Mytilus edulis: one gene and its partner. The protein of the gene in region 1 interacts with the protein of each later gene in a pairwise test. Links are inferred from orthologs where the notes say so. Each region holds a gene or a part of one and is shown in the gene's direction. Other genes may lie near its edges.

Region 1 (7,794 bases):
CCCTTGTACAATGTTGTACAATCAGCCAATTGTCAGATATATATAATTTTATTTGCCTCCTATTGGAGAGTATGAAACAAAGCAAAGACAATTACAATTAATCATATACAAACAACACGAGTTATGATTTACACAGAGACAGTCAATAAAGACGAGATCACAACGAAAAGTTCAATTATTTACATAGAACAGGCTATTATTTAAACTTGGAATTATTTTTAATTATGGAATTTGTTAAATTTTCTGTGCTGGAAATTTTTAATAAATTCCATGTTTATTTGGTATAATTTTGTTTTGAGCAGTTCATAACACTTTCCATATAATGTATTTTGTATAGATAGTGTTGTGCGCGGCACAGTACATTCTATTGAAAATGTACTATCTTCTTTGTAAATGAAAGTGTTGTGCGCAGCACAGACCATTGAAGTACAGAATAAGCAAGGAATTTACTAGAAATTTCAAGCACAAGAAATTATAAAATTTCCATAATTAATAATAATTCCAAGTTTAAATAATAGCCTGTTATATGTTCATTACAGTTTGAAGATAGTTTATGTACTTCTAGCAGCAGTTGCGGTTCTGTAACAATTTACAAGAATTGTAGATAAAGTTCATACACGTGAAGTTAAACTGTTCACGTTCTTTATTCTGTAGATCAAAATCGGTGTCACAGGCAAGAATACAATTAAGCAATTTATTGTCAGTCATATTTCCTAAGTGAACACTAAATGAAATCGGGTTTATGTCTATAACACTCCTCCAAAATTGATCTCGAGCATCAACTGTATAGTCACATGATAGTATCGCATGAGTACAAGGATCATCAAAAAGTTTACCACATTTATCGCACAGTATTCTGTTGTTTTGTAAGTTCTCGCGTATAAGACAGCACGTTGATGTTACAAAATGGGCCTGTCTGCGCATCAGTGGGTGACGCAGTGCTACTCTCCACGCCGCATGCGGTACACAAAACGAGTGAATGTCTTTGAAAACAACAAAATCAGGATCCACTGCCATACGATGATGCCACTTTACTACCTCAACCTGGTAAATTGACGTCTTGACTACCGATTTCCAAATTGCCGAACTTGGGAATTGTCCATCATTGAGAAACTGATCTAGATATTTCGATAAACCATATTTTGTGAGTATTTTAATAATGTCACAAGCGAAACCTGATCTTGTGTCATATTGATTATATCTAGCATCAATGAGTCTACGGAGAAGAATACGGAATGAGACAGCTGAGTATGGAAGGCGACATGTTCTTCCAAAAAACAACAGTTTTCGTTCACATATAAAACTTTCAATTGAAAGCCATCCTAATAATGACACACACATGTCGCTTCTTGTTCTTCTTGGTAAACCTTGTATAAATTTACAAATATAGTGGTGAGTTCTTTCAAGCATCAGTATTTCAGTGCAGGTAAGTTTTCCCCTGAGTTCACAACCGTATAGTGCTTTCGGATAGCAGAGCTGACGTATAATCTTTGCACATTAATTGGATTTACAATGGCTGGGTGTATTCCAAGGCGTATAACTGATGTCGTTGTCAAGCGCAAGGTGCGACAAGCTTTAAGAGTTCTGTCCATTGTTTTTAAAGATGTATCTAGTTGAATACCAATATGTCGAGCAGAAGTTACATAGTACATCAGCCAATTGTCAGATACCCTTGTCCAATGTTGTACAATCAGCCAATTGTCAGATACCCTTGTCCAATGTTGTACAATCAGCCAATTGTCAGATACCCTTGTCCAATGTTGTACAATCAGCCAATTGTCAGATACCTGTACAATGTTGTACAATCAGCCAATTGTCAGATACCCTTGTACAATCATACAGAATAGATTGGTGTTAAGCATGTCTGTCAGAAAAGTCATGTACATGTACAGAAACTAGCAAAAACAGACCATGTTCTTAATTTGACTGTTGGTAACTCACACATTAGAGATGTTAATTGCGAAAAGCTCCTTGGGGTTTTTATTGATGAAAATCTTGAGTGGACAGCCCAAATTGACACTTTGTGCACAAAAATCAGTACCAGACTAAATCTTTTGTCTAGGATAAAGAAATCCCTCCCCCTAGAAACACGAAAGTTATACTTTAATGGTTATATTCTCCCTATTTTGGATTACTGTTGTACAATTTGAGGAAACACCAGTGACCAAAATACAAATAGATTAGATAAACTTCAAAAATGAGCAGCTAGAATTATTCTTGAACTTCCTTATGATACCCCATCAAATACAATGTTTAAAAAGTTATCATGGCTTCGATTTACTGATCGTGTAATTTACCACAAGGCCTTATATGTTCATAGATGTTTATATGGATCTGTCCCAGAATATTTGTCTAACAAAATCTCCTATGTTACAAATAAAAATGGAATGCAACTTAGATCAAATACTACCCAATTACTTAATATACCAAAGGCAAGAACAAACACATATATAGAAGATCTTTTTCATATTCTGGCCCAACTTTATGGAATAAACTACCAGAAGCACTAAGACATATGTCAAACATAAATACTTTTAAAACAAACTGGTTTAAGTTTTTACTTGAAAATCCAGGAATTATTTAAATGACTATGTATCAATTTTGATTTATGTTTTCTTATGTTTATCTTTGTTATGAAGAAATTGTGTGAATTGCATTGTGAGTGGAGTGTGAGGGCCTCAAGGGAGAATAGTGTTTGTACTAATTGAGCATACCCTCTTGAAATAAAGATTATTATTATTATTATCATGTACTTTGTATGTGGTTGTAATGTAAAGTTCAATAGGTTTTATAATTCTCTGTGGTTCTACGTGGTCTCATGATCAGTATTAGGCAAAAGATGTGTATGTACATGTATCTATATACATGTATATATACATGTATGTAAAAAAAATAAATCATGTGATATATACATTGTTCATGTATAGGTAAATATACACTTGGAGAAGACATTTCTTACTTGAAAAAATTGTGTCTAATTGGTTTGTCCTTATACATGTATATATTGAACAATAAAATATGTAAACTATAATTGTTTTACATGGTTAAATTTCACTTTTAAACTGGACATTTAAAAAGATACTCTTTGTGAAATACATGTACATGTACACAAATGTATGTATATTTCTCAGGTTTACGATGATTTTGGTTAGACCTACTGTGGCTAAAGGCACACAATGTAGTGTAAACTTGTATATATATATCATGTATATTACAGATACAAAAATAAGAGAGATATGGGGTATTTATCAGTGTTTATGGAATTGATTAAAGTTACAACTTTGACAAAATTAACTAGACTAGGATTCAACTAACTATCAGAGACATATAATACAATGTCTCCCCAACTATATAGCAGACACGTGCTAATACTGTACATGTATGTACAAAAGTGTATGTCAAGCTCTTACAATGAGTGTACATGTACATGTATGTCTAGACAAATTGTGAATGAAATTACGAAATTAAAGACTTAAGACCTACAATCAATATAACAGTTTCTATGGGCAAAAGTCACTTGGATACATTGGGGTATGTACAATGTATGTGTCTTATTCTAATAATAGTAATCTCTATAAACCAGCCTTGCATAGGAAAACTATCCTCTTGTTAGCCTGCAGCCAGAGGGAACACATTTTATTTCATGACTTGTAAAATAAAAACACATTTATACATGTATGTCTGCTACATTTTTTTTGTTTGTGTACATTTATTTTATTCTAAACATGACTTCAGAAAGAAATTTTGAAAAAGGATGCTGGCATTCAATGAAAAGCATGCACTTTAAATAGTGACTTACATTTATATTAAAGGCTAAGTGTTTCCATTTAGCTTTGTCTTTAGATATATAAAATGTATGCATGTAAAATGTAGATACATGTATAAGAAGATGTGGTATGAGTGCCAATTATACAACTCTGCATCATCATGATCATTGTCCATTTAAGTCACAATTTATATTTAAAGTACTGTAAACCATTGAAGGTCAAAGTTCAGTCTTCAACATGGAGCCTTGGCTCACACCATACAGCAAGCTACAAAAAAAAATGTATAAAGGGCCCCAAAAATGACCAGTATAAATTAACCATTCAAACAGGATAACTGCCAGTCTAATCTATAAAAAAAAACAAGAAACAATTTAATGTCAAGTTGCACAATATATATGAACCACAACAACAAAAGACAACCACTGAACATCAGTTTTCTGACTTAGGGACAGTTGCAAACACATGCAGTATGTTTAAACGTTTTAATAGGTACATGTACATTTGTACCAACCTTCACCCTTACCTGAAACAATATTGTAACATCACAACATAAAAAGACATACATTGCACATGCACTTGGTGAAATAACTTATTGTTAAACTTACGATTCTGAAAGGTATCTACTGATATTATCCAAAAAATCACGAAACAGCATACATGTTTTGAATGTGTATAATCCATTTTCAGGTAAAAAAAATGTTCAGGTGCTTTAAACTTTTTCTGAAGCAGTTAAGAGCTAATTTCCATATCCATGAACATATAATCAAAAGATAATGTACAATTTATATTTAAATACACACTTATTCCATATCTAAAAACGTAAAAATCAGACTTAGTGTGATTTATGTGTCATTTTCACTTTCTATTTATCAACGTTTTTCTCATCAAGCATATCAAAGGAGTTCCTTTTGGCTAATCCAATTATCTCCCCAAAATCAGAAAAAAACTCAGTTGATAATTATTCCCACAAACTATTACAGAAAGCGTAAAAATATTCAACTGAATCTACCAAAACCGCTTTGATGTGTAGTTTAAGGGTATGTAGTTTAAGGGTAGTATTAACAATGTTTGAAGAAAAATACAAATTTAAAAGCTCGCAGGAGGTAAAAGTATCAGCCTCTGAGTAAAGGGGTTCCCCGTTCCCGGAGTCTTCGGACTTTTTCATGTTTGAGTACGATAAATCTCGTAACTGGGGAAAGCCCACTTAATGCGCAAGATAGGAAGTTTAATTTACCAACATGGCGAACTTGGTAAGAAACCTGACTTGCAATTTTGATTGAAATGATTTCAAAGCGGCTTGCGCTTATAAATGCTGTTTTAATTAATGAGTATAGTCAATTTTATTGTTTCCTGACTCTGAAAACAACACAAATTATTTTCACTTGCACCCAAGTAGTTGTTTCCCGTGTTAAATGCGAATAAAATTATTTTGATGACCCTTTCTTTTGAAGCTTCAAGTCTTTTGAGACGTTTCGGCCACACAACCAGTTCGACCACATGTAGTTTCTTTCACAGGACTAGTTCGACCACAGTTGTAAAGGCAAAAGTCGGTGTGCCAACATTTGATCTATTTATCTATCTACATGTATCTTCATATTTCCACACTCAGTGGATTGTTATCCTATGTACATGATGTATATTAAAGTTAAGAAGATGAAACTAAAGGCTAAAGCAAACTTTATTGCATATAATTTATTTGTTTCAGTCTGCAGACTACACGTGGTACCTCGAATGACCGAAAAACACTGTTAATTTCAAAATACTTGTAATGACAGAATAACACTTTTTAATATTAGCACATATTGGTGACTTTTAAATATTGATTATTAAATAAAAGTATATTATCGATGTATTTTATGACTTATAAATGATTTACAGCTGAAAGCAGATAAGTTCATTAAAAACTTTTAAAATTATGACGACCACGGACATCACAATGGACACCATGTTCTCTGTACACATTAAATTTAAAATGATCTTTATGAACTTATCTGCTTTCTGAAAAACATTTTTGTGTTATAAGATACATCGATAATATACTATTATTTAATAATCAATGTTTAAAAGTCACCAATATGAACTAATATTAAAATTTCAAGTGTTATTCGGTCATTACAAGTGTTATTCGGATAATAACAGTGCTATTCGGTGATTCGTGTTACCTGACTACAAGTATAGCACATTATATATCTTTTAATTGGAACTTCACAATAGTGTGTCTTCCATTAATTATTCAGAGACTAGACAGAAACTCATACATGAGATATACTTTAACACGGGATCGTTACATATTGATTTGGCCAGCTTCCATTGTCAGACATGCAGAAACTGGACATGAGTTATTTGAATGTTCATACAAATGAAATTTATTTTTCAATGTCAAAACTTACCAAGACTAGGAAGACTGGTTCACAACTATAACATTTAGTTCATTCCCTGAGAATCTTAAAGTTGTTCAATGTATCTTAAGACTACATTTGTACATTGATAAAACAGTGAGCCTTCCTTCTAATGATTGTTATCAACTGCCCATTAGTTTTATTAAACCTCACAAACCTGTCATATCATGCACAATTCAATTGCCTATTGGTTAAAACGTATACAAGAATCTGCAGGCGTAGATACTGATATTTTCAAACAACATTCAACTCGGGTGCCAGTTCACTAAAACAAACAAGTTTGGAACCTAGACTTTGTTTTTGCTTAAATTAAAATTATAGAAATCCTTGATATAAGTAAATATTTGTACTCACATTTAACATACAATATTGTTATACCACTGCCAAAAAAATATGCAATCATATATTGGTATCACGTCGTTGTCGTCAGCGTTGTCTTTGTCTGAAGACATTTGGTTTCAGGACAATAACTTGAGTATAAGTAAATAGAAATCCATGAAATTTAAACACAAGGTTTATAACCACAAAAGGAAGGTTGGGATGGATTAACAGTTGATGAATTAGGGGCCTAAATACATTTTAGCATTTTTAGCTCACCTGGCCTAAAAGGCCATGTGAGCTTTTCTCATCACTTGGCGTCCGTCGTCGTCGTCGTCGTCGTCGTCGTCGTTAACAATTTTTCAAACATCTTCTCCTCTGAAACTACTGAATGGATTTGAATGAAACTTAAGATGATTGTTCCTTAGTATATCCTGCACAAAATGTGCGCTTCGATTTTTGATCCGTCAAAAAACATGGCCGCCGTTACTTAAAATAGAACATAGGGGTCAAATGCAGTTTTTGGCTTATATCTCAAAAACGAAAGCATTTAGAGCAAATCTGACAAGGGGTAAAAATGTTCATTAGGTCAAGATCTATCAGCCCTGAAATTTTCAGATGAATCAAACAAACCATTGTTGGGTTGCTGCCACTTAATTGGTAATTTTAAGGAAATTTTGCAGTTTTTGGTCATTATCTTGAATATTATTATAGATAAAGATAAACTGTAAACAGCAAAAAAGATCAGCAAAGTAAGATCTACAAATAAGTTAATTTGACCAAAATTGTCAATTGACCCCTTAAGGGGTTATTGTCCTTTAATGACAATTTTTCACAATTTGTTCATCATATTTGCTAACTTTAAAAAATCTTCTCCTCTGAAACTACTGAATGGATTTGGTTAAAACTTAGCATGATTGTTCCTTAGATTATCCTGCACAAAGTGTGTGCTTTGATTTTTGATCCGTCAAAAAACATGGCCGCCGTTACTTAAAATAGAACAGGAGTCAAATGCAGTTTTTGGCTTATATCTCAAAAACGAAAGCATTTAGAGCAAATCTGACAAGGGGTAAAAATGTTCATTAGGTCAAGATCTATCAGCCCTGAAATTTTCAGATGAATCAAACAAACCATTGTTGGGTTGCTGCCACTTAATTGGTAATTTTAAGGAAATTTTGCAGTTTTTGGTCATTTTCTTGAATATTATTATAGATAAAGATAAACTGTAAACAGCAAAAAAGATCAGCAAAGTAAGATCTACAAATAAGTTAATTTGACCAAAATTGTCAATTGACCCCTTAAGGGGTTAT
Region 2 (7,269 bases), on another chromosome or scaffold:
AACAAAACAAACAGACATCAAAGGTTAAAATGTCAAAATAATGTTACAGCAAAACATAAACAAATTACAAAAATGTCAAACAAACCTAATAACTATTGTCATAGCGTGTATAAAAATCTCTGTGCAATATTTCTTCAACCACTGACGTCATAAAGAATTTGTTGGGTAGATCGGCAGAAAATAATGTAGGAATAATTCAAATAGCAGTTTCTATCTGACAACATACAGACCTGTAAAGTGAAGAAGAAAGACAAGTTATCTCTAGAATAAATAACTATGTCATAACTCAAAAGAGGAAGACAACAAATACTTAAAAAAACAAAAACAGTGTTTGTTATCTCCTCTCAGCAGAAAAAGTTACCTCTGTCAGTGAAATGAAAAATGGATATGTTGTCTTAACTCAAGACAAAAAAAGAACTGATAAAATTTAAAGAAAAGGGAAAGTGCTATAAATGTTTTTCTTCCTCTCAAAAGTAACATTTATCTTACTGCAAGTTCATTACAGTATTGTAAATACTTAGTACAGAAATTATTGTGTGCATATATTATTGCGATTTTGTCATTTTTAGTTTAAAATGTGATTTTATTTTTTGCAATATTGAGAAATATCCTGTTTAATTCATGTAGCAAATTTCTAGTTTAAATTATGGCTATAATAACCCTTTTGCATTTTTCACAATAATAAAACCATTGCTATAATTTCTGAATTTACAGTACTTATAGCACTTGGTTTGCGTGAATTTTTTTTGCTATAGGTTAAGTTTGATGAGGAATGTACAAGATTTTTCTGTCCTAGTATTAGCTAATTCAATCTAGCTGTATTTGGGTGGTGATGGCAAACTGTTTATATAGTCAGTTTAATTTTTTTGTGATTTTTGGCACAAAACTGGAAAATTGCTTGGTACAACCTCTCCCTTCCTCAGTTTCTCAGCTTCATATAGAAAAGTTTATATTTTTCTGACATTGACCTTATATTGTATATTTAGAGAGATGTGACATGTTGTATAGACAATTGTCTATTGTTAAAGACCGACTGTATGTTGACATCTAGGTGTCTTTTAATTTACCCCACATCTCCTTTATTATATTTTGGATTTTTTTGCTGAAATACTGTTGCAATATAAATGTTTAGTTTTCATCAGTAACATTTTTTTTAGTACAAAGTTATAGGTCAGACACACAGCATCTTTCAATGCAAAATAGCTGAATTCCTTTCTTCAACCTTATTTTTGATGAGAAATATCCACCAATTAGTAAAATCAGCCAAATTCAAAACTATATTACTTGTTTAAAATCTTGTTATGCCCTGCCTACATATCATTTTTCAACCTGTGTCAATTTGTTGTTTCCTTATCAAGTTAAAAGTTTTGGGTTAAGTTGTAGTGTAATGTGAAGTTGAAATCAGTATGACACTTGGTGTATATGTTTATTTATGATGTAAACTTTTAAAATATATGCTATCTGGTGTAGAGCCAGGGTTAGCAGTTAATAATGAACATGGAAATGTGATTGTCTAAAATCTTATTGTTCTAAGTTCAGAGTTTTGGTTTTAGGTGGTTTACTTATATAAGTTGTGGTTACATTAACATGAAAATTAGGGCACATGTTTATTTTGATGTTACCTTTGTAAATCATATCCCAAATTAGGGTTTAACCCTGATTTCATGGTTCAATGAACTCAAATGTGATAATAAGCAGAAGGGCACACAGTCGACTGGTACCCGGCTGTTATTAAAAATCTTGATAATAGGAAGGCAATCAGCATACTGAATATTTAACGGAGGGAACCAACATAGGCGCATAGTATTATGTTAAATCTTTTTTATTGTTTTATAAGCTAAATGAGCAATGCTGTTGGCCAAATTAACAGATGACATAATGAAACAACATTTGTTTCCTGGTGTTTTTTATCTTCAAGAGGCAGATCAAGTAATTCAAATTGAACTTTATAAATTACTTATGCAAGAGCAAATTGAGACCTGTTGGATAGATATGATTTAAAAGAAAGTATATCAGCCTTGTACATCTCTAATTTTGATAATACTATTGAGTAATGAAACAATATAAAAAAAAAAATATAAAAAAAAGACTTCTCTATATTGTGTAATTTCCTTGATCTAGGTTAATTAACAGTTCTTAAACTATTCATATAAGATTTGGGTTCCTAAATGAAACGTTTCAACTTTGCAGGACTACACATGGTGACATTACAAATCTATTCCACTAAGGCTATATACAGTATTCGATCAAATCAGATTGATACGATTAAAATTATGTACAATCGTTGAGTCTGGTATTAATGTGTTGTCTGTTGCCATGAGTGAAAATCTTCAACTTATAATTTTCAACAACCTAAGTCCTTGGCATGTAATATGTTCCATTTCATGATTGTTCTTGGAAAGAAAGAGTTCCTTTAGACTTCACTGGTGATCCTCTGTTGTTAAAACTTGTGTGTTCAATCATCATGACCTCTACTGTGGCCACCTTTGAAGTAAGTTCTCTTGTTGATATCTATCAGCTCATTGTGAATACAATTAAGCATGCATAGCATGTTATCACGGTCTAGAGATGACTCACAAGGAAGGCTATAATTTTTAAACCAAGACTTACCTATAAATCAAATCAAATTCTATCAATTCTTGATAACATTGAAAGTAAAGATGCTGGTCTACAGTTGTTCATCTCGTAACATCGCCACTTTCATGGATAAGGGTACTCTAGCTTGCATATAATTATAAAGGTTGATGGAAAAATAACTGCAAAGGCTTAGATTAATAAAAAAAATATGCACACTAGATTCCTAAATCAATGGAGCACTAATATTTCAAGAATTTTTGAACCAACAGCGTCAAAACACGTAGAGTTATTAATTAGTTCATTAAAGAGTTCTATTGAATATAAACAATCACATTCAAATTAGTTGTTACCTATCTTTCTTTCAATTAACTTTTCTAACTTGGGTGATTTAAAGTTTAATTTGGGGTTGGCAATAATTGATGTAGCTACAGGTGTCATACCACCAAATCATAGTACATCACATCCTGTTTCATATAAAAAAAAGGGCCGAAATATATATATATCCCTTGAATTAGGAAGTCTTGTAGGAATACAAACCCTACATTTCATTGCAGTAAATATTTTTTAAGTCTTAGGTGTTTCAAAACAACTGTACGCATATTTTTTTATTTAGTGTTTCTATTCTGTATTCTGTATCTTCATATATTCTGCCAATATATGTACACCTTCAGTACAATGTAATAAATCCAATATAAATCCAATCACCAATAGAAATATAATACAGTCTGTACACAATACAAGTATGTCGACAATATATTCCTTCACCAGAATCACACATCAAGTCTTAATTATAAGATTTAAAATATATTTTCTTTTAAATAATAATAACTTGCAGTCCGCACAAAACTAATACTTAGCTAAATTTGACTTTCTTAAGATTTATATAAAATATTTTGAAAATTTGTGAACAGAAAAAAAAGGGATGAACATTTTAATTTATACTTCTGGTGATAGTTATTATCTTATATGAATGAAATGTTATGTGGTATTTTAACTGTACGTATATTGTATTGAACAGGATAAAAATTTGAAACAAAGATACCCCAGTAAATTCAGCATAATTTTGAAAAATGCCTTATATAAATTACTATAATAGGTGAAAAACAATCCTACTTATATTTGCCTTATATAAATTACTATAATAGGTGAAAAACAATCCTACTTATAATTACTATAATAGGTGAAAAACAATCTACTTATATTTGCCTTATATAAATTACTATAATAGGTGAAAAACAATCCTACTTATAATTACTATAATAGGTGAAAAACAATCTACTTATATTTGCAATTTAAGAAGAGTCACTTATAATCACAATGTTAACAATATTTATTGGGTAGATTATTATCTTTGGTGCAGATAATTATTCGATGTGTAAAAGTTAAAAAGAAAAATATCTTACAATAGAACTTTGATGTAGTGCAAGTTCTTTTTAAAGTATTTTTCACATATTGTGTCAAGGGAGACAACCATTTAATTTTTTTTTTTTTTTTTTTTTTAACACAAAAACAAAATTGAGACAATTTCATTGTTTTTTTTCCAAAATTCATCCCCACCCACTTAATTTGCACTACCATTTACAAAAAATATCCTGCAAAACAAAGTATTTTTCAAGTTTTTTACAATTTAATAGTACATTGTTGTACTAGGTTTCACAATATTATAAACGGTCTTTAACTGTTTCTTTTAACCAGAGTTATTTCCCTTTAAAATTTGTGAAAATGGCAACGATGACTAGCAACTTTTCACCGGCAGGAATGTATTCGCCTTCTATTCCAGACTGGCTGAATGCAGAACATGAAACAGGGGTAAATGATACTTGTTACCTTGTTAACTTGTTTATATGAAGCTTATAAAGTATGTCCACAATGATACGAAAAGTTACAAGCCTCAGTTCCGTCGATGAGTTTCTCAAAAAATCGTTTCTTGTACTCTTAGTTTACTAATGCTTTGTATTCTCCCCATATAACATTTTTCTTGTAGTCCTTCACTTTACGAAGCAGCATGTATCTCATTGTATTGTCTAAAGTACATCCGATTATTCATTGATGTGAAATAAATTATCTAAATTTTAATTTTTAGGATTTATGATTTTATAACTTATTTTTTTGCTGCCTACCAACACAATACAATCAGAAAAACAGCTTTCCTCAATCTCAATTTTGCATTACTTTATTATTAAACTAAAGTAACAGCCATCAGCAGGATTTGATTCTGAAACCTCAGTATGTAAAGACAGCAACCCACTGCAGAAACAAAGAAGACAGTGTTCTCCCCAGGCCGATATGACGCTGCGGCAATGCAACGCCTTCATAATATTTTCGAAGATGCCGCAGCGTCTTAATTGTCCGCTGTCCCTTAATACTTGATCCCGCAGCGTGTTAATTTTCACAATTTCATTATAAATGTTGGTTAAAATTGTGTAGTTGCTGATCACCGCTGTGAGGTCGGTCAGTGTTACGCAATAACTGATAATTAGTTTTACCTGAGGCACGCTTATCTCAGCCTTATCGGACTATGTTATCATGTAATAGCGTACATGATCATCAAGAAGATAGATATTTGTAGAAGAAAATTTAAAAAAATAAAAACTTCAGTGCAGAAATTGAAGAAATAGATCGCAAATACATAAAATGTACATTGTATTTACGCATTGTGTGTGTGATCACTTGACCATTTAAATAACGAATTTTTTCATTGGTCGAGAAGAAGAATCTATTTTAACACGACCAATGAACGTGATGAATACACGTGATAAATTTGAATACACATTGCTATGATGAAAAATTATGAATGAGAGTATTTGTAATTGAAAAAAATAAAATAAACTTTGATTAAAGATAAAGAGAAGTGATTCATTTTACTATAAAGTGAAAAAATGTTACTTGCAAGGTATATTGTCTCAAACTGTCGTGTTTTTAGAAATAAAATGATCATTGAACATCGATCGTAAAATTCCGTTCGTCGGGAAATATGTGACAATCAACACGGGTACGGAATTGCTGCAGCTTCTATATAATGTCACTAGTTGATAATTTCAATGGTCTTAACTTTAAAAAAAACTTGCAAAGTTTCGTTTATATCTACCTGCCAGAGATAGGTTTTAACAATAATACACACGGAAGCGTAATGTAAAACTACGGAAACTTGTCAGCTGTTCTTTTTTAAAAAGTTGTATACCAAATATGATCAAATATCTTAACCATATTCGATTTTATTAATTCTGAATGAACATGTTTTCTGCAAATAACAAAAGGGTGACTTCTAAGCAAAAGGCAGATGATGGAAGTAGAAGTTTTTTTTCTCTCAGCCTAATGACTTCTAATGAAAAGGGGAATACACCTTCCTCTTCGCTGTCAGTATAAGCAGATGTCATTGCTTCTCCTAATCCCAACCTAGCTAAAGTTTTAGCAAGTGATAACAGCAAGCACCGTTTCTGGTTTCAATGACAAGTGGCTGACTGAGTTTTCATGGCTTACAAATGTTAAAGGGGGTATAACCAAAAGTTATTGTGAGAGGGGGTTTTCAACCCTAAAGAGGATAAAGACAAAATTGAGGAACAGACTGTCCAACAAAATAACACTATCTTGAAACATTATCCCTAGAAGGAGCAGAGAGTACAGAGATGAATATTTATATTTTGACTTATAAATAACTTTTGTGTTTAAAATCAATTTATTTCACATTCATATAATAACATAAGGAGTTATAAGGTTTTATCATTGATAAATAGTTATCAAAGGTATTGGTCAGGATTATAATTTAGTACGCCAGATAGGCGTTTCATCTACATAAAACTCGTAAAGTTAACGTTTGACATTGAGATCTATGTCAGAATATGAGGAAACATTCTCATTTTGGGTGTGTGAACTTTCAAAATTTGACTTTTTGAGTAGATATTTGTTTCTTTTTACAAAATCATCTTTGTTTCAACTAGGACATGTAGGACTCGAACCTCAGACATCTATGCCGTGTTACCAGGCAGCGCATAAACCTACTGAGCAAAAGAAGAATTTATGGCTGACTTGGTATCTACCACATTTACTCAGGCATTCAGGGAAACAATCCTTTTACCACTTCAAGTCATTATACTCTATAATGATATCTTCTTTTTTATATATATAATTCCCTGGGCCGACTTGGTAATTCTTCCAACTGTGGGTTTTTCAGTGTTAGGCACCAATGTTACTAGAGAGCATGATTCTTACAAAATCATCTTAAGTCTCCACAATTTGTCCACTGGGACTTGAACCCGAGACCTCTGTGTTACAAGTCATCTTTGGGGGTTTGTTTCCTTGTTATGTCCAATTGTTTCTTAAGCTAATTTTGACGATATAATTATAAAAGATGCATGTTATAATTCCAGACAACAATTATGGCCGTTGAATTTGATGGAGGTGTAGTAATTGGCGCAGATTCAAGAACTACCACTGGGTAAGTGTAAACACAAATACATTCATGTATGTTATCATGGTTACTGACGGTGTGGAATACAAACTGCCAATAACTAATATATACATGATAATCAATCATATATGCATTTAACATGTTTAATGCATCAGTATATTTGAAGTAGATTTGATAAGCATTCTAAATATATTTTATAGTCAACTTCCAGTAAGTAATTTAGGATTGACTTTTGTAAGGTCCGAAAGTTGATACTATATACAATTTCTTGAAATCCTTCATTT

The links.
Region 2: the proteins of proteasome maturation protein-like (region 1) and proteasome subunit beta type-6-like interact in binary tests that used the Homo sapiens proteins (3 or more experiments, as listed by UniProt). The link is inferred for Mytilus edulis from reciprocal best matches to the Homo sapiens genes POMP and PSMB6.

What each region holds. Positions count from the first base shown.
Region 1 is NC_092351.1:6,550,815-6,558,608, forward strand, and holds the start of proteasome maturation protein-like, read left to right. Parts: upstream 1-4,774; 5' UTR 4,775-4,789; coding exon 4,790-4,804; exon of another isoform or gene 4,805-5,005; coding exon of another isoform or gene 5,006-5,017; intron 5,018-7,794. Other genes in the region: vascular endothelial growth factor receptor 1-like, read right to left, coding at 4,373-4,448. UniProt on the Homo sapiens protein: Molecular chaperone essential for the assembly of standard proteasomes and immunoproteasomes. Degraded after completion of proteasome maturation. Mediates the association of 20S preproteasome with the endoplasmic reticulum.
Region 2 is NC_092356.1:29,851,218-29,858,486, reverse strand, and holds the start of proteasome subunit beta type-6-like, read left to right. Parts: upstream 1-4,254; 5' UTR 4,255-4,299; coding exon 4,300-4,386; intron 4,387-6,944; coding exon 6,945-7,012; intron 7,013-7,269. UniProt on the Homo sapiens protein: Component of the 20S core proteasome complex involved in the proteolytic degradation of most intracellular proteins. This complex plays numerous essential roles within the cell by associating with different regulatory particles.